Linked DNA regions of Elephas maximus indicus. The protein of the gene in region 2 binds, or shares a complex with, the protein of the main gene of each other region. Links are inferred from orthologs where the notes say so. Each region holds a gene or a part of one and is shown on either strand. Other genes may lie near its edges. The genes, in order: SLC7A9, SLC3A1 and SLC7A13.

Region 1 (7,521 bases), on a different chromosome or scaffold from region 2:
TTCCTTTTGAGGAACAGTTTTTGGCTTGTTACTGGGCCTTAAAAAAAAAAAAAAAGGGCCTTAGCAGAGACCAAAAGCCTAACCATGGGCCACCAAGTCACCATGCAGCCTGAGCAGCCCATCATGAACGGAATGTTGTCTGATCCAGAGAGTCATAAAGTTGGACAAACACAGCAACACTCCATCATTAACTGGAAGTGGTATCTACGAGAACGGGCTTGGGCAGGACCTGAAGGCACAATTAATTTGCATGAGAAAGTGGCCCAAATGCCCATGGTATCCATTCCTGTCACATTACCTTCCCTCTCCCAAGCTGTACCTATGACCTCATGGGGAGTTCCTTATGATCAGTTGACTGAGGAAGAGAAAACTCGTGCCTAGTTTACAGATGGCTCTGTACAATATGCAGGTACCACCAAAAGTGGATAGTGGCAGCACTGCAGCCCCTTTCTGGGACCTCCCTGAAGGACAGTGGTGAAGGGAAATCCTCCCAATGGACAGATCTTTGAGCAGTGTACCTGGTTGTTCACTTTGCCTGGAAGGAGAAATGGCCAGATGTTTGACTATATACTGATACATGGGCTGTAGCCAATGATTTGGCTGGATGGTCAGGGACTTAGAAAGAACATGATTGGAAAATTGGTGACAAGGAGGTATGGGGAAGAGGTATGTGGATAGACCTCTCTGAATGGGCCAAAAAAGTGAAGACATTTTTGTCAAACTAAACCTGGCTACCACCACCGGCTGCTCAGACAAGGATCACAATAGAGGGTCCCAGACAGAGCTGGAGAAAAATGTTGAACAAAATTCTAACTCACACACACACAAAAAAAACCAGACTTACTGGTCTGACAGAGACTGGTGAAACCCCAAGAGTGTGGCTCTCAGACATTCTCTTAACTCAGTACTGAAGTCACTCCTGAGGTTTACCCTTCAGCCAAAGACAGGCCTATAAAACAAAATGACACTAAAGGGGCACACTAGCCCAGGGGCAAGGACAAGAAGGCAGGAGGGGACAGTAAAGCTGGTAATCTGGAACACAAGGTCGTGAACGGGAGAGTGTTGACATGTCATGGGGTTGGCAACAAATATCACAAAATAATATGTGTATTAATTGTTTAATGAGAACTTAATTTGCTCTGTAAACCTTCATCTAAAGCACACACACAAAAAAGAATGCTATCTGGTCACTTGGGGCTCCTCATGCCTCTGGATCAACAGGCCAAGAAAGGAGTTACCATATTGGCTGGTGTAACTGACCCTGATTACCAAGGGGAAATCAAATTGATATTACATAACATAGGTAAAGAGTATGGCTAGAATACAAGAGAGTCCTTAGGGCATCTTTTAGCACTAAAGTCAATGGAAAACTTTGTTGTTGTTAGGTGCTGTTTAGTCCCATCTGACTCACAGCGACCCCATGTACAACAGAAGAAAACAATGCTTCATTGGTTTTGCTTCCATAGAGAACCCAGTCTAAGACAGCAGAGTTTGAAAGGGAAGGTCAAGAGCGTTAGAAGACACCTAAGAAATACTGGAGTTGTATAAAAAAAATAACATGAAACTTCCTTGGAAAGTAACTGTAGAGGGAATTGACTGCAAAGAGGTAAAGCTTCAGCTGTATGGTGAAAAGCTGGATATATAATGAACAAAAAGTCTTGAAGAAGAATCAGGAAAAAAAATGGTTTTTATCAAATTATTTTCCACTAGGAAAAACTTATAATTGGTTGAACATCACTTTGCTGAATAAACAAGCAAAAAACCCAAACCTTAAGAAATGCTCACCACAGACCGCAAATTAACTCAAGTGTTGATTTCTGACTCTGAAAGGATCCTCATGCCCAGATGCTCCAAGCTCAGCACTTGGCAGAGGCCCAGAAGGCCCAGGGGGTCCTCTACATCAACGGAAGGAGGAGATTTAACACACGACCTGTGGAAATCCTCACAATTCCAGGAGAGGGACCGTTACCCTCCCCATTTTAAGATTTGGATCTTGAGGCTTAGAGGTGGTGGCCTGGTCCCAGGCCTACCCTCTTCATGTGGTTTCTGTCAGAATATCAGCCTGAAACCCTAGTGGCTAGTGGTTAAGTACTACAGCTGCAAACCAAAAGGTCGGTAGTTTGGATCCACCAGGCGCTTCTCGAAAACTCTGGGGCAGTTCTATTCTGTCCTCTCGGGTTGCTATGAGTTGGAACCTACTCAATAGCAATGGGTTTGGTTTTTGGTTGGTTTGGTGGCAACTTTGACCCAGGGAGTGCCCTGTGGTGTTTTGAGAATATGGGTGGGCCAGACACTAGGGTTCCAGCACTGCAGGTTCTGTCGGAGCAGGCCGATGAGCGCCCTGCCTGGCTCAGGGAGGCAGGTGTCCTGCTGCGCAGGCTCAGCCTTCCCAGGACTGGGAAGCAAGGGTCCACTTGTCTCCTGATGGTTGTAGGAAGCAACCCTGAGAAATCTGCCCTCCTTCTCTCAGGTCGGCCTGCCCCAAAAGGCTCCCAAAGTGACCCCCATTGGCTCACCCACCTCTGTCCCACAGCCTTTGGTCCATCTGGATTTGTAGGGTGCTGCTACATTTACCCCAATGTAAAACCGCTGGTGAGAGTGTGGCAAAATGTGAGGGCTGTAATTAGTGTCGCTGAATCCTGCATGCAGAAATGGTTCAATTTGTGTATTTTTGGCTGTGTATAATTTTATCAAAAAAAAAAAAAAAACTGCAGCAGTGGTGATACCAACAACAATGCTTCAGGCTTACTGTCCCCCCCCCCACACTCCCCCCCACCCCACCCCCCGCTGCTGTCCTCTCACCTGTCTGATAAGGAGCCTCCCACAGGCAGACCTTACCTGAGATAAGGGTTTGGAGCAGCTGAGTCTCTGCCCCGCAACCAGAGGGGAAGGCAGCCAGATGCACCAGCCCTGGGTGGGGGTCAGAGCTTCTTGCCCTCGCTGGGCCTCAGTTTGTCTGTCAGGCAAATGCAAAGGCGGACTTGATGGTGTTCGGTGTCCCTGTTCTGCTCGACAGTCCTGGATCTGGGCTACTTTAACAGCACAACGACAACTCTTTGGGGCTTGGCGGGAGCAGCAAGGGAGGCCGGAGCTAGGACCTGTCAGGAAGCCTCTCTGCAGCGTCCACCTTTTGCCAGGCTCCCTGGTGGTTCCAGGTGGATCCAGCCACTGGCAAATGTGAGTAGAAAGGCCTCCCTCCTCATCCCACAGGAATGCAGACCAAGGACTCTGAGAGGAATTTACCCCGTGGGAAGGAAAACAATTTGTGAGTCCCATGTAGCGTAGCAGCTACCACTCGCGCTATCTCAGTGGTAAATAGAGCCCATTAAGGTAATGAAAGAGTTGGTTCCAAAGCTTACTTCCCTCGCTTCCAAAAGATATAAAAAAGCATTATTTCCACTCTTCGGTAGTGGATTTGGGGAAATCTGGGGGAAAAAATTGATTTAGACATAACTGAACAAAACAAAACATTTTAGGAGAAAAGTAGCTTGCCTCACCCTCCCCTTTTTGTGTGGTGTATCCAAGCTTTATTGCTCACAACAAAAGGTGTTTAATAATTACCTTTGCTGACCTCTGTACTTTCTGGCTTCCTCCACTCCTGGACACAAGACATGGCCATTCCTAGGGTGTGACAGCGCAGAGGCAGGTGGTCGGCCAGGCCAGCAGCGTCTCCTCTGGATCAGCAAGGTCAAGGCAGAAGGTAAGCCTGGCTAAGGGAAGCCTGTCCCTTCTCTGGCCAGCCCAGGGGGATTTATTTGGAGAAAGGGCACAGTAGACCACGGTCTCTTGCTGTAGCCTTAAGCCAATTTTCCTCAGCAATTTTTTTCATTCCTTACATCACTCAGTCCAAAAATACTCATCCTACAGGTCCATCAGAGCCCTGGTGGCGTGGTGGTTAAAGCATTTGGCTGCTACTTGACAGGTCAGCAGTTCGAACCTCCCACTAGGCGCTCCTCGGGAGAAAGATGTGGCAGTCTGCTTCCGTCAAGACTTGCAGCCTTGGAAACCCTATGGGGCAGTTCTACTCTGTCTTATAGGGTCGCTATGAGTTGGGAATCAGCTCAATGGCAGTGGGTTTGGTTTTGGTTTTGGAATGGGCCTATCATGCTTGAGGTAAGAAAAAGATTTCTTCCCCAGGCTTGATTCTGCTAAGCATATTCTGGTATAATTCATCTTTTTTTTTTTTTTTAACTTAAAAAAAAATCAAGTTGGACCATGGAGGTAAAATGACTTTTCAAGTATGTCACTGTTGAGGATGATGAGGAGTGACAGGCCTGGGAGCCTGGGGGCTGGAGGCTGCTGGGAGAGAGGCAAACACTCAGCTGGGTTGGAAAAGAACACAGGAAGCTCCATTTCCTGTGGCCTGAACTAAATTAAGATTAAGGACTAATATTTACTCCTGGGACTGAGCAAGTTACTACTAAGGATTAACAACTGTACTTGCCTAAAGCCTGAGCTAACAATCTGCTGTTGGAGGCCCTTCCCAAATCCCAGAGGCCCTAGCTGAGAAGAGCCTGGGCAAGCCCCAATTTGCATCTTGCCAGCAGGGTGTTTGCTGAATGGAGACCCGGCCCATGCCCTTCTTGCAGCTTCCCAGAACTGGCAGGACGGGGAGATGGGGGAGACACGCCTGAGGAAAAGGAGAGAGGACGAGAAGTCGATCCAGAGTAATGAACACAAGACCACAATTCTCCAGAAAGAGGTAAAGTGGTCTTCTTTTGGGGGCCCCTTCAAGGGCTGAGTAGGGGAGTTTTCAAGAGCAGTCCCAGACAGAATGAAGTCCCCACTAATCCCTAATAAATAAATCCCTAGTGACTAACAAAAGGAAGTGATCTTTGATTCTTAAGGTACATCTTGGAAGGACAATTCTTTGGATTTATCTCTTTCTCTTCCTCCTGTGAACTCAGCATATTCTTTTGAAGTTAACACATACGTGCTTTCCTGCCCTGGGTAAACGTCTGCAGGGGCCAGTATTTGCTCAGATCAGGGGACTCTTAGGGGCAGTGTGAAAGGACCCTCTATGTCTGAGTCCCAAGTATCTGTCCCTCCTGTTTGAATACCTCTGGTGATGGGAAAAGGGTCCCTGGTGGTACAATGGTTAAACAGCTCAGCTATTACTTGAACCCACCACCGACTCTGTGGAAGAAAGGTATGGCAGCCTTGGAAACCCTTTGGGGCAGTTCTACTCTGTCCTGTAAGGTAGCTATGAGTTGGAATTGACTCAATGGCAATGGGTTTGGTTTAGTGATGGGAAGGAGTCCCTGGGTGGTGCAACTGAAAAGGTGGAAGATCAAATCCACCCAGAGGCACATTGGAAGAAAGGCCTGGTGACCTAGTTCTGAAAAATCAGCCATTAAAAACCCTATGCAACATAGTTCTACCCTGGCATACACGGGGCCACCTCGAGTCGGAATCGACTCCATAGCCACTGGCTACTGGTAGTGAGAGGAGACTTGCTCCCTCCAGAAGCAGCCCACTCCATCTTAGAGGGGTCTAGCTGGATGATGAGTTTAACAAGGGGGAGACCTGGATGAACGCTCAGAGTTGGGAAGTAATGAGGTACCTGCTGACTAGAGGGGGCCAGGAGGGCTGACAAGGAGACGGGCAACAGCACCCTCCCTCTCTGTCAGTCTCTGTGCCTGGGACCAGAGGGGGTGGAAGACGATGACACGGAAGCCCCGGAAGATGAGAGGGCGGGTGGCATGGCCTAACCGTTGGCTGGCCTGGGATCTCAGATCCCCAGGAGTCAATGACAACAGCACCCTCCAACTCTGTCAGTCTCAGGCCTGCAGGGCCAGGCTTGACTGAGTCCAGTGATGGTTTCTCAAAGCCAAGGTGGCCCTTGAGCCACACAAAGAGCACAGGTGAGCAAAGCCCAAGTGTGTCCTAGACTTACCTAGGCACCTTCAGGGTGAATGTAGACCTCACCCAGATTAGAATCCAGGCAGTTGCTCAGCAGAGGAAGGATTCTGGGGGCATGTTGGTGAGCTAAGCTGTCTGCCCTGAGGAGGGAGGTGTGGAAGCTGGAGCGATTAAGACAGCAGAGCTAAGGTCCCTGCGTGGGGCAAGTGGCTGGTAACCAAAAGGTTGACAGTTCAAACTCACTCAGTGGCACCACGGAACAAACAAGCCTGGTGATCAGCTTCCGCCAAGTTTACAGACAAGAAAACCCTGTGGGCAATTCTACTCTGTAACACGTGGGGTCTCTTAAGTCACCAATGAACAACAAAAACAAAATCAACCAGAAAGGAGCAGAGCTGAGACGGCCCTCAGCTCACCCTTGAGGCCCAGAGCGGAGCTGGCACTGCTTCCCAGGGACCCCTGCTGTGTGTCACATCCCATGGGTGGCAAACTCACTGCTGGGATTGCCCTGGTTCTCCAGGATCTCCCCCTGAACTCAGCCTCTGCCCTCCCAGGCAAGCACACACACCCTGACCTCAGCTTCCCAATCAGGCCTCGGCAGCTTCCCAATCAGGCCTCGGCAGCTTCCAAGGCCTGGCGTTCTAAGTAGGGGCCTGAGTGAGACATACTCTCCTTAAAAATATATATATATTTTTTGATTGCTGTATAGTTTATATAGGTCCCTGGGTGGTATAGGTGGTTTGCAATTGGCTGCTAACCTAAGGGCTACCTACCAATGCTAAACTAATTGTTGCCAACAATGGGTCACAGACCTGCTCTCTACCCAGCAGCTCCCCTGAAGAAAGGCCTGGTGATCTGCTTCCAAAAAGACTGCAGCCAAGAAAACCCTGTGGAGCAGTTCCACCCTGTAACACATGGGGTCACCATGAGTCACAACTGACTTGATGGCAATGGGTTTGGTTTTTGGTATGGTTTGTATACAGTGAAACACACAGATCTTTGGTGTTCAGTTTCTGTTTTTTTTTTTTTTTAATTGTGCTTTAGGTCAAAGTTTACAGAGCAAATTAGTTTTTCATTGAACAGTTAATACACATGTTGTTCTGTGACATGGTCTGCCAATGCTGCGACGTATCCACACCCTCCCCTTCTCCACCCTAGTTCCCTGTTTGTATTCATCCAGTTCTCCTGCCCTTCCAGCCGTCTCATCTTTGCTTTTGGGTTGGTGTGCCTGTTCAGTCTTGTGTACATGATTGAACTACGAAGCACGTTCCTCACGTGTTATTCTTGGCCCTATAGACCTGTTTAATCTTTGGCTGAAGAGTGAACCTTAGGAGTGACTTCAGTCCTCAGTTAAAAGGGTCTCCAGGGGCCATGATCTTGGGGTTTCTCCAGTCCTGTCAGACCAGCAAGTCTGGTCTTTTTATGAAATTTGTATTTTGTTCTACATTTATCTCCTGCTCTGTCCAGGACCCTCCATTGCGATCCCTGTCAGCGCAATCGGCGGTGGTCACCGGGTTCATTTCGAGTTTCGACATACACATCACCCAGAAAGTTCCCTCCAGCCCCTCAGGCAGTCCTCCACCCCTGATTTCTATCACCATAGGTTCCTTTTGCCTGTTCTTGTAACTTCATGTCAATTGAATCATACAGTGTGTGACT
Region 2 (7,207 bases):
AACTGGGCCTCAGAAAGAGGCAGGAACAAGTATCCAGACCAGGCATTCATAGTCTGCAGTGAGAAGACTGGCTGACTGACTGGAGCAGAGGACCTGATCTGGAGACGGTGATGGTTAAGATTGTGTGTCGCCTTGGCTGGGCTGTGATTCTTAGTATTTTGGCAGTTGTATAATGTTGTGATCACTTTCCTGTTGAAATTTGATATGTGATCACCCCCATGATGGAATCTGCTGAGTGGTACCAGTGGGGGTGGGGCCTGTGATGGCTCACGGCTCCCTCAGCCTTCATCTCTCTGCCTTCTGCCCCTACTTCCTTCCTGCTCGCCTTGCAAAAGTTGTTGGCTTGTTCCGGATCCAGCAGCTGTCTCTTGTCTGACTTCTGGTTCTTGGGACTTGAGCTAGCAGCTTACCTGTCCATCTTGGGATTCGCCGATCTTCCTGGCCTGCGAACAAGAGTCCCGCTCGCTGATCTGCCTGTCTTGGGTTCACCAGCCCCTGCAGTTTCAGGAGAAACATGGTGGTCTTGCCTGACGACCTTGGGGATTCCTTGACCATCACAACCTGTGAGCGGGATCCCTGCTTTTCCACCTGCACATCTTGGGTTCAACAGCTTCTGCGGCTCTGCGAATTGGGAAAGTACTCTATGCAGATCCAAGGACTTGGGATGTTTCAACCCCTTCAATTGCATGAGCTGTTTCCTTAATATAAATCTCTATATGTATATTTATATGCATTACTGGTTTTGCTTCTCTGGAGAACCCAGCCTAAGACAGAGATATTAAAAGAAACATTCGATTAGAAATGGTGTTTAGGCCTAGATTATAACTTAGACTCCTATTGTTGTTGTCTGTCATCTAGTCAACCTTGACTTGTAGCTACCCTATAAGACAGAGCAGAACTGTCCCATAGGGTTTGCAAGGCTGTAATTTTTATGAAAGCAGACTGCCACATCTTTTGCCTTTGAAGCAGCTGGTGGGCTTGAACTGCTGACCTTTCAGTTACCTTTTAATTCCAGCCCTTTTTCTCTCTATGCTTCAGTTAAGATAGTTTCCACTGCTAGTCATCAAATCCATTGATCATTTACTTTGAAGTGATTAATTTGTTGTTGAGCCCACCTAGAGATTTTTTTTGTATTGTATTTTATTTTCCATATCCAGAAGTTCCATTTGATTCTTTTTTATATCTTCCATTATACCACTCATGGTGTTCCTGTTTTTCTTTAAATCTTTGAGCATGTTTATAATAAAAAAAATTTTTTTTTTTTTTAGCTGTTTTTAAATTTGTGTTTGTGAATTCCATCATTTATATCATTTCTGGGTTTGTTTTTATGTATGGATTTCTTTCCTGAATTTGGATTACCTTTTGAAGCTTCTTTGCATGTCTAGTAATTTTTTATTGGATGCCAGGCATTGTGATGTTAAGTGTTGAGTGTTGGATTGGTTGTTTTCCTTTAAAAAATGTCATTTTGTTTTGGTTGATCTAACTAAGAAAAACTTTAGACCAAGTGTTAGAGGGACTGTCTGGATCCAGGAATTTCTGATTTGAATATAAAACTCTCATTCCTAGCTTCTTCATGATTCCCAAATTCAGGTATGCAGACAAAGGCCCCTCTAAGGATATTAACGACATGCATGCCTCACAGATTCTGTCTAAAAAAAAAAAATATATATATATATATATATATATTTAATGTATATATTGAGACTTCTAAGCAGCCTCAAAAGACCAGTTTCTAGAAAAGGACATCATGGTTGGTAAAGCAGAGGATCAGCAAAAATGAGGGGAACCCTCAATGAGATGAATTGACACAAGAGCCACAACAATGGACTCAAACATATCAATCATGAAGATGGCACAGGACCAGGCAATGTTTTGTTTAGTTATACGTAAGATTGCCATGAGTTGAAAGTGACTCGATGACAACTAACAACAACGACACTCATCTATTAGAATGGCTAAAATTAAACAGACTGAACGTAGCAAATGCTGGCAAGGGTGTGGAGGAACTGGAACTCTCGTACACTGCTGATGGTAATATAAAATGGTTCCTATTTCACTTCCTAATATAATTTTGGCAGTTTCTCAAAATGTTAAACATACACCTACCATATAAGATGTCACTTTGATGACTAAGGTGTGCCTGACCCAAGCCATGATCTTTTCAATCGCCTCATATGCATGCAAAAGCTGGACAATGAAAAAGGAAAACAGAAGAAGAATTGATGCATTTGAATTGTGGCATTGGTGAAGAATATACTGTAGACTGCCAGAAGAATAAACAAGTCAGCCTTAAAAGAAATACAACCAGAATACTCCTTAGAATGGAGAGATTTCAGTCCATTTACCTTGGGCACTTCATCAGGAAAGACCAGTCACTAGAAAAGCACATTATGATTGGTAAAGCAGGGGACCAACGAAAATGACAGAAGCCCTCAATGAGGCTGATTAACACAATAACTACAACCATGGGCTCAGACATACCAGTGATCGTTAAGATGGTACAGGACCTGATGGCACAGGGCTGGGCAACCTTTTATTCTGTTACACATAAGGTCACCGTGAGTCAGAGCTGACTTGATGGCAGCGAACAACAACAACCGTATGTTCCAGCCATTCTACTCCTAGGCATTCAGCCAAGAGAAGAGAAAGCTATGTCCTTACAAAGACTTGAATGTGAATGTTCACAGCGGTTTTATTTGTAATAGCCAATAACTGAAAAAGAAAACAGAAACAAATGCCTGCTTAAAAACTTTGGTATATCTTTGTATTGGAATACTACTCAGCAATAAAAAATAATGAACTATTGATATGCACAACGTGGATAAATCTCAAAATAATAATTATGTTTCATAAAAGAAACTAGACCAAAAAAAAAAAAAACAGTACATACTCTGTTATGATTCCATTTATATGAAATTCTAGAAAATGCAAACTAATCTATAGTAATTATCCTGGGGTTGCCTAGGAATGGAAGGCGGTTTTGGTGGTGCTGGGAAGGAGAATAGGAGAGAGAGATTTCAAAGGGGCAAGAGGAAACTTTTGAGGGTGATGGGCATGTTCATTATTTTAGTTGTGATGATGGTTTCATGGATCTATAACTTATTAAATTGCATACTTGAAATGTACTTTTAATACTATTTTTAAAAAGCCAAAAGCAAAAGAAACCCAACCATTTATTATTTTTCATGGTATGGTAGTTGTTGATTGGCTGGTTCTGTGGATCTGGGCTAGGCTCAGTTGATCTCAGCAGGGCTTGCTCCTGCATCTGTCGTCAGCTGGAGGGCTGGCTAGTCTAGAAAGACCCTGGCTGGGGAGACTCAGCACTCCTTCACATGTCTCCCACATCCCTCCGGCAGGTTAACCTGGGCATGCTGGTATGATGACGACGGGGGAGGTTCAAAAGAGAAGAGAAATGCACAAGTACTTTTGTTTAAGCCTTTGTTGGTGTCACATTTATTATTGTCCCATTGGCCAAAGCGGGTGACATGGCCAAGCCCAGATTCAGTCTGCCAAGGGGTTAAGAAGTTATGAGGGGAAACGGCATGGATACAGGAAGACCATTAACTGGGTTATTAGTGCAATTAATCTATAGTGCACCTTATCAAGTTTTTTATTCCATCAAGAAGGTGCTTTTATGTGATGACTTATCACGTGTTACATTCTTACATATAACTTAACATATCTTTTCATCTCTTATTGAATGTGATTTGGCTATTGATTTTGTATATTTGCATGAATTCTTTATATGTGCAGAATAGTAAGATTTTGTGGTGACATTTGTCACATTTTCATGTTCTGGTACGTTTCTTCTTTTGCTATTTGTTTTGTTTCATTTGGCTATAAAAAGTTTTAAAAATAGCCTCTATTTTTTTCAGTTGTTGTATGAATTTAACTTTCCTCTCTAGCTGGGATAAATCTATCCTTCCCCTTTCTTTCTCGTTAGAATGGTTTTAAAAAACACCTTACTGTGGTCTATATTTATAATGTTAACTCTGTAGCCAAATTACGTTTTACAGCTGAGGTAACAGCACCTTAGAGAAGCTGGCAAGTTTGTTTAAGATCATGCCGTGAGCAAATGGTGGAGGCAGGACTTGATTCTCGCTGAGGTCTTTGAACTTAAAATTCTACTCAGTACACAGTACCATGACAAGAACACATGGCTAAGAGAAATGATAAAAATCTACATTTTTGTGCAGAATGTACTTTCTATTTCCCCTCTCTCTACACCCATTCCCTCCCCCACAAAGGTTAGCATTAGGTTCATCCATCTTTATGTAAATATTTTTATTTTTAATAATATATCAGGCGCTGCACTAGATGCCGGGAACTTGAAGATGACTGTTATGGATCCTACCCACAGCTCACAGTGTCCGTGAATCAGTCTGGTGAACAGGTAAAAAATATGGAAAACCCTTCGGTTTGGAATCTTTACCAATCTGACAGATTATATGCCTCGGGTTTGCTGTTGAATGGGACTCTTTACGATGTGATGGCCTTGAAATTCGTCTTTTTTCCCCCTTGATTACTTTTATTCTCTGTTTCTTTATTTACATTTCAGTGAGTTTTCTGGCTCCTCCATTGTTCTGTCACCTGTTTCGTAGGTATTTCATCTGTGCTTTATTATCGGTTTTGAGTAACTCTCCTGAGATTTGAATTCGCTGAGGTAATTTATGTTTGTTATCTCGGATTCCTTATTCTGATCATCTGAGTAAGCTGTTAAAGCTTCCTTTGTGTTTTTGTTCCTTACTCATTTTTACAGACTGTCGTTGGTTTCCACAATTATTATTTCCTTTTTAATCCTGTTTAAAGTAAATAGTAGTTTGTACTTGCTTGGAATTCTTAGCTTTGTAGATATCTTCTCGGGCTTACTGCCAACTTTCTCTTCCTTTCCAAGCGCTTCAAAACTTGTTAATTGGATCTTGTGTTTTCCTTCTGCTTTTTAAATTTGCTTTTATATCTTTCGTTTAGGTATTAGTAAGGGGTGTTTGTGAATTTTAGGTGGCAGTTGTCAGGAGGAATCACCTTATACTGAACTCTTTATCACCTACCTGGAAGTTCTAGGTAGACTCCCAAATCAGGATACCCTAGCTTAGTTTTTTTTTTTCCAATTTCAAGAGCAATGCACATTTATTATAGAAAAATCAGAAAACCCAGAAAATTTAAAGAACAAAGTATCATCCATAATTTTACAGTCCGGAAATAAACACTCTAAACATATTTTTTAGTCAGGCTTTATATATATACATGAGTTTGTTTGTTTTTTTCCCACATAATTGGGATACTTTCTTCCATTCAACAGGAGACTTTTAAGAGCTGTTTTTCCTCTCAACACGTTGTGAAATGTTTTCCATGTCACTAAAAAGTCTTTGAGAATATGTTCAATAACTATCACAAGAATGTACAATAATTTATTAAGCTAGTCTCTTATCATTAAGCTCTTAGGTTGTTTTCAATGTTTGCTATTATAAATACCACTATAATTAATAAAACATTTTATACATAAATTTTTGGCTCCATCTCATTGAGATAGATTTTTGGAAGTGGATTATTGAATTAAAAGATATAACCTTTATTTATTACAAAAGTCACATATGCTGAGGACAAAAAATTTAGTCAGGGTAAAAGTGAAATGTAAAAGTCCAGTGACCCTCATCTTTATCCAGTTATTCTTAGTCTCCGGTCAACCACTAGTTGAAAATTTAATCTGCATGTATGACTGTGTGTGTCATTTTTTCTGCACAATTATGATTATACATACCGTTCTAAATTTTTTCCCACTTCACACTATATTTTGGACATTTTTTAAATCAGCCTAGACCAACGCATTCTGTAGTATACAGGTGGTATTCTACTGTGTGGATTTGACATAATTTATTTAAATGATTCCCCCATTGATGGATAGTTAGGTTGTTTCCAGTTTTGTTGCAGTGAATATCCTTACACCAGCAAGATAAATTTTTAGCAGTGAAACTTCTAGGTCAAAGGTTATGAGATTTACCATTTTGACATATACTCCCAAATTCTCCCACACAAAGGTTGTACTAGTTTACAGTCCTATCATGAGTTTATGAGAGTGCTGATTACCTGTATATTTTTTGACACTGAGTATTATCAAACTTGCTCATTTTTGCCAAAAAAAGCCTAAAAATGTTATATCCCTCTTATTTTGGTTTCTGTTTACTTTTGAGTGAAATTTGAATTTTGTGTTTTTAACCACTTGTATTTCTGATTATTTTTGTATTAATTTATAAATCAATTTCTATATTATGAAAAATAACTTGCCGTATGTCTTAAAATATTTTTTTCTAGTTTGTCATTTGTTGTCTTCTAGCTTTGTGGATTGTTCTGTTTGTTTTTAATTTGTGGAATCGAATTTTTTGATCTTTTCTTTCCTGGGATGTAGATTTTGTATTTTATTGGAAAGGCTTCCCAACTCTAAGATTATTTTTTTTAAGTAGATACATTTCTGTCTAGCATTTTACAGGTTTTATATTTTACTTTTATATCTGATCTGCATAGAACTTATTTTGGTATAAGGAATAAGGTAGGCTGTATAGCTTTATTATTTTTTCCCAATAGCTAGCCAGCTGTCCAGCACTTTTTCAATAATCATTTTCTCCCTGATTCAAAATGTTGCCTTTTCACATTCTAAAATTTCCTTATGTATACAAAAGAAAAAAAAAAAGCAAACTCATTGCCATTGAGTTGATTCCAACTCATAGCGACCCTATAGGACAGAGTAGAACTGTCCCATAGGGTTTCCAAGGAGCGCCTGGTGGATATGAACTGCCAACCTTTTGGTTAGCAGCCGTAGCCCTTAACCACTATGCCACCGAGGTTTCCGCCTTATGTATAGGGGTCCATTTTTGGTGACTCCAATCTATTCCATTGATCTTGTGGCCTATCTCTTCTTTACTATCAATTCCTTTTTTTGTTTTAAAATCTGGTAAGGCTAGCCCCATTTTATTACCTTGAAAAATGTTAAAGCTTATCATACACATTGCCAAATTGCTTTCTAGAATGATTACGTCAATTTGTACTGGATCCTTGCCAGCACTATTATCTTCTAAAAATTCTTTACAAATGTGATTGAAAATGCTTGTTTATTTGCCTGATATTTGTGCGTTTATTTGTGTGAATTATCTGCTTATTTTTTCCAAGTTTTCTACAGATATTTATGTTTTTAATTGATATTAAGAAATGATAT
Region 3 (7,946 bases), on a different chromosome or scaffold from region 2:
AAGAGACTGAAGAAGTAATAAAACAAAACTCTCCCCCACCCCCCCAAAAAAAGCCCTGACCCTGACGGCTTTACTGGAGAATTGTACCAAACATTCAGAGAAGAGCTCACACCAATACCACTCAAACTATTCAGAGCATAGAAAAGGAAGGAATACTCCTGAATTCATTCTATGAAGCCAACATAAATCTGATACCAAAGCCAGGCAAACACCATGGAAAAAGAAAATTGCACCCAATATCTCTCATGAATATAGACACAAAAAGTCTCAACAAAATTCTAGCCAATAGAATTCAGTATCATATCAAAAAAATAATACACCACAGACCAAGTGGGATTCATACAAAATATGCAAGGATGGTTCAGTGTTAGAAAATCAATGAATGTAATCCATGACTGAAATAGAAAAAAAGAAAACAAGCACATGATCATTTCAATAGATGCAGAAAAGGCATTTGATAAAGTCTAACACCCATTCTTGATAAAAACTCTCAATAAAATAGGAATAGAAGAGAAATACCTCAACATAATAAAGGGCATGTATACAAAACCAACAGCCAACATCATTCTCAATGGAGAGAGGCTAAAAACATTCCCCCTGAGAACAGGAACAAGACGAGGACGCCCTTTTTCACCACTCCTATTTAAGATTATGCTGGAAGTCCTGGCTAGAGCAATAAGGCAAGAAAAAGAAACAAAAGGCATCCATATTGGAAAGGAAGAAGTAAAACTATCTGTATTCACAGATGATTTGATCTTATACATAGAGAACCCCAAAAATTCCAAAGGAAAACTACTGAAACTAATAGAAGGATTCAGCAGGGTTGCAGGATACAAGTCAACATACAAAAATTGGTTGGATTCTTATACATCAACAAAGAGAATTTCAAAACAGAAAGCAGATAAACAATACCATTTATAAAATAAAACAAACCTATTGCCATCGATTCAAGTCATAGTGACCCTGTAGGACAGAGTAGAACTGCCCCATAGGATTTCCAAGGAAGCTGGATTTGAACTACCAACCTTTTGTTTTGCAGCCCAGCTTTTAACCACTGTGCCACCAGGGCTCCATACCATTTATATGGAAAAGAAAGAGGCCTTGGATAAGCAAAGCAGCATTGAAGATAAAGAACAAAGTAGGAGGCCTCATACTCTCTGATCTCAGAATCTACTATACAGCCCCGGTAGTCAAAACAGCCTTGTATTGGTTCAACAACAGACACATAGACCAGTGGAGCAGAATCGAGAACCTAGATGTAAATCCATCTACCTGTGGTCAGCTTATCTTTGACAAGGAAACAAAGTTCATTAAATGGGGAAAAGACAGTCTTTTTAACAAATGGTGCTGGGAAAACTGGATGTGCATCTGTAAAGAAATGAAACAGGACCCATACCTCATACCATACACAAAAACTAACTAAAAATGGATTAAAGACCTAAATATAAAACCCAAAACTCTAAAGATCATGGAAGAAAATAAATGAATAGATAAATAAAGACAACGTAGGGGCCCTAAACATGGCATAAATTCAATACAAACCGTAACTAACAATTCACAAACACCAGAAGATAAACTCGATAACTGGCCCAAGCCAAGCCCATTGCCACCAAGTCGATTCTGACTCATAGCAACCCTATGGGACAGAGAGCTGCCCCATAGGGTTTCCAGGGAGCAGTTGGTGGATTCAAACTCCCAACCTTTTGGTCAGCAGCGGAGCTCTTAACCACTGTGCCATAACTGGGAGCTCCTAAAAGTTAAACACTTATTCTCATCAAAAGACCTCACCAAAAGAGTAAAAAGAGAACACACAGACTGGGAAAAATTTTTTGACTATGACATATCCAACAAGGGTCTAATCTCTAAAATCTATAGAATACTGAAACACCTCAATAACAAAAAGACAAATAATCCAATTAAAAAAATGAGCAAAGGATTTGAACAGACACTTCATCAAGAAGACATTGATACAGCTAACAGACACATGAAGAAATGCTCTTGATCGTTAGCCATTAGAGAAATGCAAATCATAACTACAATGAAATACTATCTCGCCCTGACATTACTGGCACACACACAAAAAAAAAAAACCCAGAAAATGAGATATGCTAGAGAAGTTCGGGGAGATTGGAACTCTTAGGAACTGCTGGTGGGAGTGTAAAATGGCATAACCACTACAGAAAATGATATGGTGCCTCCTTAAAAACTAGAAACAGAAATACCATACCATCCAGCAATTCTCCTAGGAATATATCCTAGAGAAATGAGAGCCGTCACACAAATAGGCATATGCATACTCATGTTCTGTGCAGCATTACTCACAATAGCAAAAAGATGAAAACAACCTAAGTGCCCATCAACAGATGAATGGAGGAACAAATTATTTTACATAATGGAATGCTACAAAATGATAAAGAACAATGATGAATCCTCAAAACATCTCACGACATGGATGAATCTGGAGGGCATTATGTTGAGAGAAATAAGTCAATCACAAAAGGACAAATATATGAGAACACTATTATAAAAACTCATGAAAAATTTTACACACAGAAAAAACAATCTTCGTTGGTTACAAGGGAGAGGAGGGATGGGGAAGGGAACTCACTAACTAAGATAGTAGACAAGCGTTAACTTTGGTGAAGGGAAAGACAACACACAATATACGGGAAGTCAGCACAACTGGACCAAGGCAAAACCACAGAAGCTTCCTAGATACATTTAAACACCTCAAGGAACCGAGTTACTGGGGCTGAGGGCTGCGAAACATGATCTCAGGGGACATCTAGGTCAATTGGCATAACAAAGTTCATAAGGAAAATGTTCTACATCCATTTTGGTGAGTAGTTCTCTGGGATCTTAAAAGCTTGCGAGCAACCATCTGAAATACATCCATTGGTTCCATCATGTCCGGGGCAAAGGAGAGTGAAGAAAACGAAAGACAGAGAAAATATCAGTCCAAAGGACTAATGGACCACATGATCCACAGCCTCCACTAACCTGTGCCTAGAACAGATACACGGTGCCTGGCCACCACCACCAACTGCTCTGACAGGGATCACAATAGAGGGTTCTGGACAGAGTGGGAGAAAAATGTAGACCAAAATTCAAATTCGCAAAAAAAAAGACCGGACTTACTGGTCTGACAGAGGCTGTAGGAACCCCTGAGACTATGGCCCTGGACACCCTGCTAACTCACACCTGAAGCCACCCCTGAAATTCAGTTTTCAACCAAAGATCAGAGAGACCTATAAAACAAATAATAACACACATGAGGTAGGTACTTCTTAGTTCAATCAAGTACACTAGACCAAATGGGCAGCACTTGCCCAAAAGCAAAGAGGAGAAGGCAGGGAAGGACAGGAACCTGGATGAATGGATGGGAGGGAACCCACAGGTATAAAGGGAAAGGGAGAGAATGCTGACACATTGTGGGGATTACAACCAATGTCACTTTGTGTATAAATTATAAATTTTGATTGAGGAACTAATTTGTACTGTAAACTTTCACCTAAAACCCAATAGAAAAATTTTACAAATTCCCAATAAAACCTTCCTATCAAAAAAAAAAAAAAAGCCACAGAGATGAACACAGCCATGTTGCACCTGACCTGACCCCATGACACACCTGCTGAGAGAGAGACACCTGCTAACACTTGGTCCAAGTCTTGCCCACCTGGCGGCATAGACATGGACACAGGTAATTCGAGAAGGGAGAGTGAGTTCCCTTTTAGACATAAAAGAGTTCTCTCCTATGATACTAAGTAGGGTACTCCTGGGGGCGGGGAAAGGACCGATTCACATCAAATCTGTTCCTATTGTTTACTGTTTGCTTTCTGTAAGTAATCTCTTCTTGTTTACTGTTAACCTTCTTCAAATAATAACAATGGATTTTAGTTGCCAATATTGTGTGTCTTGTGTGTGTAACCCAATTGGATTGGATCATCTTCATCCTAGCAGTCATATGATCGCTTGGATGCAGTGCATAGCCTGTGTGTATGCACACATGTACATGCATGGGCATGGTTCACTTGCAAAATGAGCCTGTCTCTTGATCAGCCATCACTCTGGTACCCCGGGTCACAGGCACAGAGATGTGAATGGGAAGTACAGGAGAAGACCTGACCCCAAGGACGAGGGGAAGGAGGGTCCTAACCATCTGAACAAGGCCTGGACCTGAGTAGCTCTCACATATGTTGATTTTACAATGAAAAGCATTGTCAAGAGTATTTCCGAAGGCTCCTAAGCCTGGAGCACAGCCCCAGGTTGGAAGTAAAGTATTTCTGAAGTATCCCCTAAGGGTATGTGAAAATTAAATTGTCCATGTTTTTGCTTTGGTTGTGGGAAAAATGGCAGTTTTCTGGAAGATTGCATCCAAAAAATCTACGGTAATACTGTACAGAGCTGAGTAAACATGACCAAGTCCACATCCCAAATGAAACCAGGCCTCCCCTCCAGAAAGACGCAAAGTAGCAGAGTGCAGAACTGTCTGTGGTCCTACCCATTGCTCCCCTCTTACTTATCTACTTTAAGAGGAGACAGGGAGAAAATCAACTACACAGCCGATTTCTGCTTTTCACTGTAATACCCTCTGTCCTATTTGAAATTCCATTTATCCATTTGAATGTATTATTTTGATAATAATTAAAAAAACAAGCAAACTAAACTCTTCTAAGAAATCTCACACTATTTTCTTTAATGTTTCACACGTATTTTGTTAATCATTAAACATGAGCTATGTGTAATAAAGGTGGAATGAAAAGCACTGCCCTGTTCTATTTCAGAGAATCGATGAACATTTTATTTAGCAATATAGTCAGGAAAATTCAAAAATTGTAATATATGTAGAAAATTTAAATTCCTTAAAGAAAATGGATGAAGGGAAGAAGAGACAGCTCCGGAGGGTATTTGGATATTACCAGGGCGTATGTTTTACCATCATTAATATGATTGGTACAGGAATTTTTGTGGCTCCCAAAGGGGTGCTGAAGTACTCTTGCATGAATGTGGGGCTATCCCTGTGTATTTGGGCTGCCTGTGCTTTATTGTCCATGATGAGCTTTCTCTGCTCTGCAGAGATAGGTATAACCTTCCCATGCAGTGGGGTTCAGTACTATTTTCTCAAGAAATGCTTTGGCTCCGTGATCGCTTTCCTAAAACTTTGGACAGGCTTATTTCTGGGGCCGGGGATAGTCGCTAGCCAAACCCTGCTCCTCGCTGAGTATGGCATCCAGCCTTTCTATGGCAGCTGCTCTGCTCCAGAGCTCCCAAAGAAATGTCTGGCACTGGCCATTGTATGGATAGTGGCAATCCTGAATACTCGTGGTGTAAAAGAGATGGTTTGGCTTCAGACAGCCAGCACAATGCTGAAAATGGCCATACTTGGTCTCGTTTCCCTGACTGGAGTGGTGATACTAGTGAGAGGAAGGAAGGAGAATGTAGAGAGGTTTCAGAATACTTTCGATGCTGAGTTTCCAGATGCCTCCCAGATGACAGAAGCCTTCTTCCAAGCATTTTTCGCATATTCTGGCGGAGACAGCTTCATGTTTATAGCAGGTAATTTACAATCCACTGAGAAGCAAATCTCGTAAGCTATTATTTTTGCATGCAATATGAAATGTACATCTTCTGCTGGATTTGGAGTTTTATTTTAAATAAATGATTCAATTTTTTTTTTTTTTTAATTCTTTGTGACTTTCCTAATCAGGTCAGAGTATACCAGCCTTGCCACTTCCTCTTAATTATTTTTCCATCTATTCAAAGTACCTGTTTTATCAACAACTTCTTTCTTTCCTGGAACCAGAGATATCAGACCACCATGTTAATCTTTTTTTTTTCCTGTTAATGTGGGAATGCTGTGGTTGTGGAAATATTCGCTTCGCATGAAACTAATTGAATACAGGCTGTATTTAGGTTGTGGGTACATGTGACACACTTCGGCTCTTAAGTATTTTTAAAGGGAAGAGAATCGTAGATATCCTAAATTGCTCTTAGGCTGGATTTAATAACCTTCCCTATTCGATGCCAGGACAGGAGTTTTTCTCTCTTTTTTTTCAAAGTCAACCTCTTCCCTTAGACTCTGCATCCTTTCCCTCCCACCTCCTTAGGGACCTTTCTTGTGCATTTATTCCATTTTTTGTTTTTCAACTTCTACCTTTCTACCAGTTCTTAGGCTTGAAATTTAAACGTGAACCAGACTCTTCAGTTCTTAAAAAAAATATTTTCCTTAAATCTTAGAATCCTTTCTAGTCACTGATGTGTCAATAATTCACGAAATCATTCTATCAGCAAGCATCTGTTAAAACACCATTTTTAATATTCTGTACTAGTGCTTGAAGATGAATAAGATGTATTCTTTGCACTAAAAAGGCTTACAATCTAGTAGAACAGGCAACATCTGTATTTCAGCCTGACCTCTGACACCAGCTGTGGTAAGTAACTTCCCCTCTCTGGACTTAACTTTTTTTTTTTTTTGCAAAATGGGCATTATGGCTCAAAATCATTATAATTTGGTGCCTTGTAGATAAATATTGGCACGACAGTATCTAATAAGTTGCCGTAAGGGAACAATATAATTGCTTTGGAAATTCAACAGAAGAAAAGGTCACTTTTCACTGTGTCCTCAAGTGGAAATCGTGGCAATCTGAATTGAATCTAACGGTTTAGGCAGTAGGAAAATACGAGTGAAGCTGTGGAGAACAGAGGTGTGTAGGGTACATAAAAGACATGGCAGGTGGTCTTGGGTGACTGCAACATGGTTTCTGTCTGAGAGCCTGATAAGAGATATGGTCAGTAAGAGAAGTATGTACAGAGAGCAATAATATAATGGTATAAGATTGGAGACATACGACTGGAGAATGCCAACTTTTAGGTGGTAAGAGGAGAAAGAAAATGCCTTGGAAAACCCACAGGAGGTTCAGAGAATTGTAAAGGAAAATCACCACATGTTTTATAAAGAGGCGGTAATCAAAATGGTTGAATGCTGCTGAAGTTGAGGAGTGTGAGGACTGATCAAAAAACATTTCACTGACTAAATAAGAAGTCACTGACAGAGAAGGAAGTCAGTTTGCACTGAGCTAAAAAATGAGATATTGATGAGAGTATAAAACTATGAGAGAAGAATTTTTTATGTAGTTTATGATTAAATGGGTGACTGCAATTTGAGAGTTTAGCAGAATGAGCAAAACTCTGTCTCACGTTGTCTCTGTTAAGGATAAAAGAGATCTCTTTGGCTTCTATTTGAGCCAATTTTATCTTGTTCCATTGCCAGAGATGTTTCATTTTAGATAATTATTCTTTTCTGAAAATAGATTGACAAAAACAGCTAGCAGTAAACAAAGGCTGGAGGAATTCCAGTATGTGCCGGGGTTGTTAATTTACTAAATTAATTCTAAGTAATACTCCCACCTGTGAAATGGTGATTTTCAGGCAGCTGACTTTGCCGAGTGTAAGAACATTTATCTTTTAAGTTCAAGACTCAGTGGTATTCACTACCTGTCCAGCTATTATAAGCCTCTGTTATAAATTAAATTCTAATCCCCACTTCTCTCCATACAGTCGGTACATAATAAGAAAGAGTATAAGGCCCAGAGAAAAGTGTAGTTAATCTAAAAACTTGCCCTTTATCTTGTTCCAGATTTTTGACTAATAACCATAGTTATTAATTAACAACCACTTCTTAAGCACTTATTAAGTGCTGTACAACGTGATTGAAGTTTTATTGTTTCTGTATTTTCCATTTCCCCCAATTGTCCAGAAGCCTTCAACTAGTAAATCATTCAGGCAGGGCTTAAATTAGAGCTTTGTAATTATTTACATTTTAAGTGCTTAATCAGCTCACGTGTCCCTCATGGACATTGGATTCAACCCCTGAGCAAATGAAGATGGAAGAATTTTGACATATGTCAAAGGAGAGACATATTTTAGTCAGGGGAATTTAGTTTTGA

Evidence for each region.
Region 1: the proteins of SLC3A1 (region 2) and SLC7A9 are in contact, whole or in part, in a cryo-EM structure (PDB 6LID), measured with the Homo sapiens proteins. The link is inferred for Elephas maximus indicus from reciprocal best matches to the Homo sapiens genes SLC3A1 and SLC7A9. Residues at the interface, in NP_000332.2 of Homo sapiens: Pro64, Tyr65, Ala66, Gly67, Met68, Pro69, Lys70, Leu73, Phe74, Phe76, Ser77, Tyr82, Pro85, Arg86, Phe90, Thr93, Val97, Leu100, Ile101, Ala103, Thr104, Ile107, Ile108, Ser111, Cys114, His201, Asp202, Thr373, Glu374, Pro375; in NP_001119807.1 of Homo sapiens: Cys137, Phe140, Tyr141, Val142, Gly143, Cys144, Pro147, Ile149, Val150, Cys153, Leu154, Ala156, Ala157, Leu160, Phe161, Thr164, Leu168, Thr279, Thr281, Asp295, Arg296, Tyr299, Tyr343, Val346, Arg347, Lys467, Thr470, Met471, His472, Gln474.
Region 3: the proteins of SLC3A1 (region 2) and SLC7A13 are in contact, whole or in part, in a cryo-EM structure (PDB 8WK6), measured with the Homo sapiens proteins. The link is inferred for Elephas maximus indicus from reciprocal best matches to the Homo sapiens genes SLC3A1 and SLC7A13. Residues at the interface, in NP_000332.2 of Homo sapiens: Pro64, Tyr65, Ala66, Gly67, Met68, Pro69, Lys70, Leu73, Phe76, Ser77, Arg81, Tyr82, Pro85, Arg86, Leu89, Phe90, Thr93, Ser96, Val97, Leu100, Ile101, Thr104, Ile107, Ile108, Ser111, Cys114, Leu115, Glu194, Asn195, Asp202; in NP_620172.2 of Homo sapiens: Ile120, Phe123, Phe124, Pro125, Ser126, Cys127, Leu132, Pro133, Cys136, Leu137, Leu139, Ala140, Met141, Trp143, Ile147, Arg151, Lys187, Thr265, Arg267, Asp281, Arg282, Glu450, Cys454, Tyr455, Gln457, Leu458, Leu459, Phe460, Asn461, Ile462.

Annotation. Positions count from the first base shown.
Region 1 is NC_064839.1:14,861,565-14,869,085, reverse strand, and holds the start of SLC7A9 (B(0,+)-type amino acid transporter 1), read left to right. Parts: upstream 1-4,457; 5' UTR 4,458-4,615; coding exon 4,616-4,702; intron 4,703-7,521. UniProt on the Homo sapiens protein: Associates with SLC3A1 to form a functional transporter complex that mediates the electrogenic exchange between cationic amino acids and neutral amino acids, with a stoichiometry of 1:1.
Region 2 is NC_064844.1:18,312,658-18,319,864, reverse strand, and holds the start of SLC3A1 (neutral and basic amino acid transport protein rBAT), read left to right. Parts: upstream 1-4,204; 5' UTR 4,205-4,393; intron 4,394-7,207. UniProt on the Homo sapiens protein: Acts as a chaperone that facilitates biogenesis and trafficking of functional transporter heteromers to the plasma membrane.
Region 3 is NC_064833.1:55,505,429-55,513,374, forward strand, and holds the start of SLC7A13 (solute carrier family 7 member 13), read left to right. Parts: upstream 1-4,871; coding exon 4,872-5,556; intron 5,557-7,946. UniProt on the Homo sapiens protein: Associates with SLC3A1/rBAT to form a functional heterodimeric complex that transports anionic and neutral amino acids across the apical plasma membrane of renal epithelium.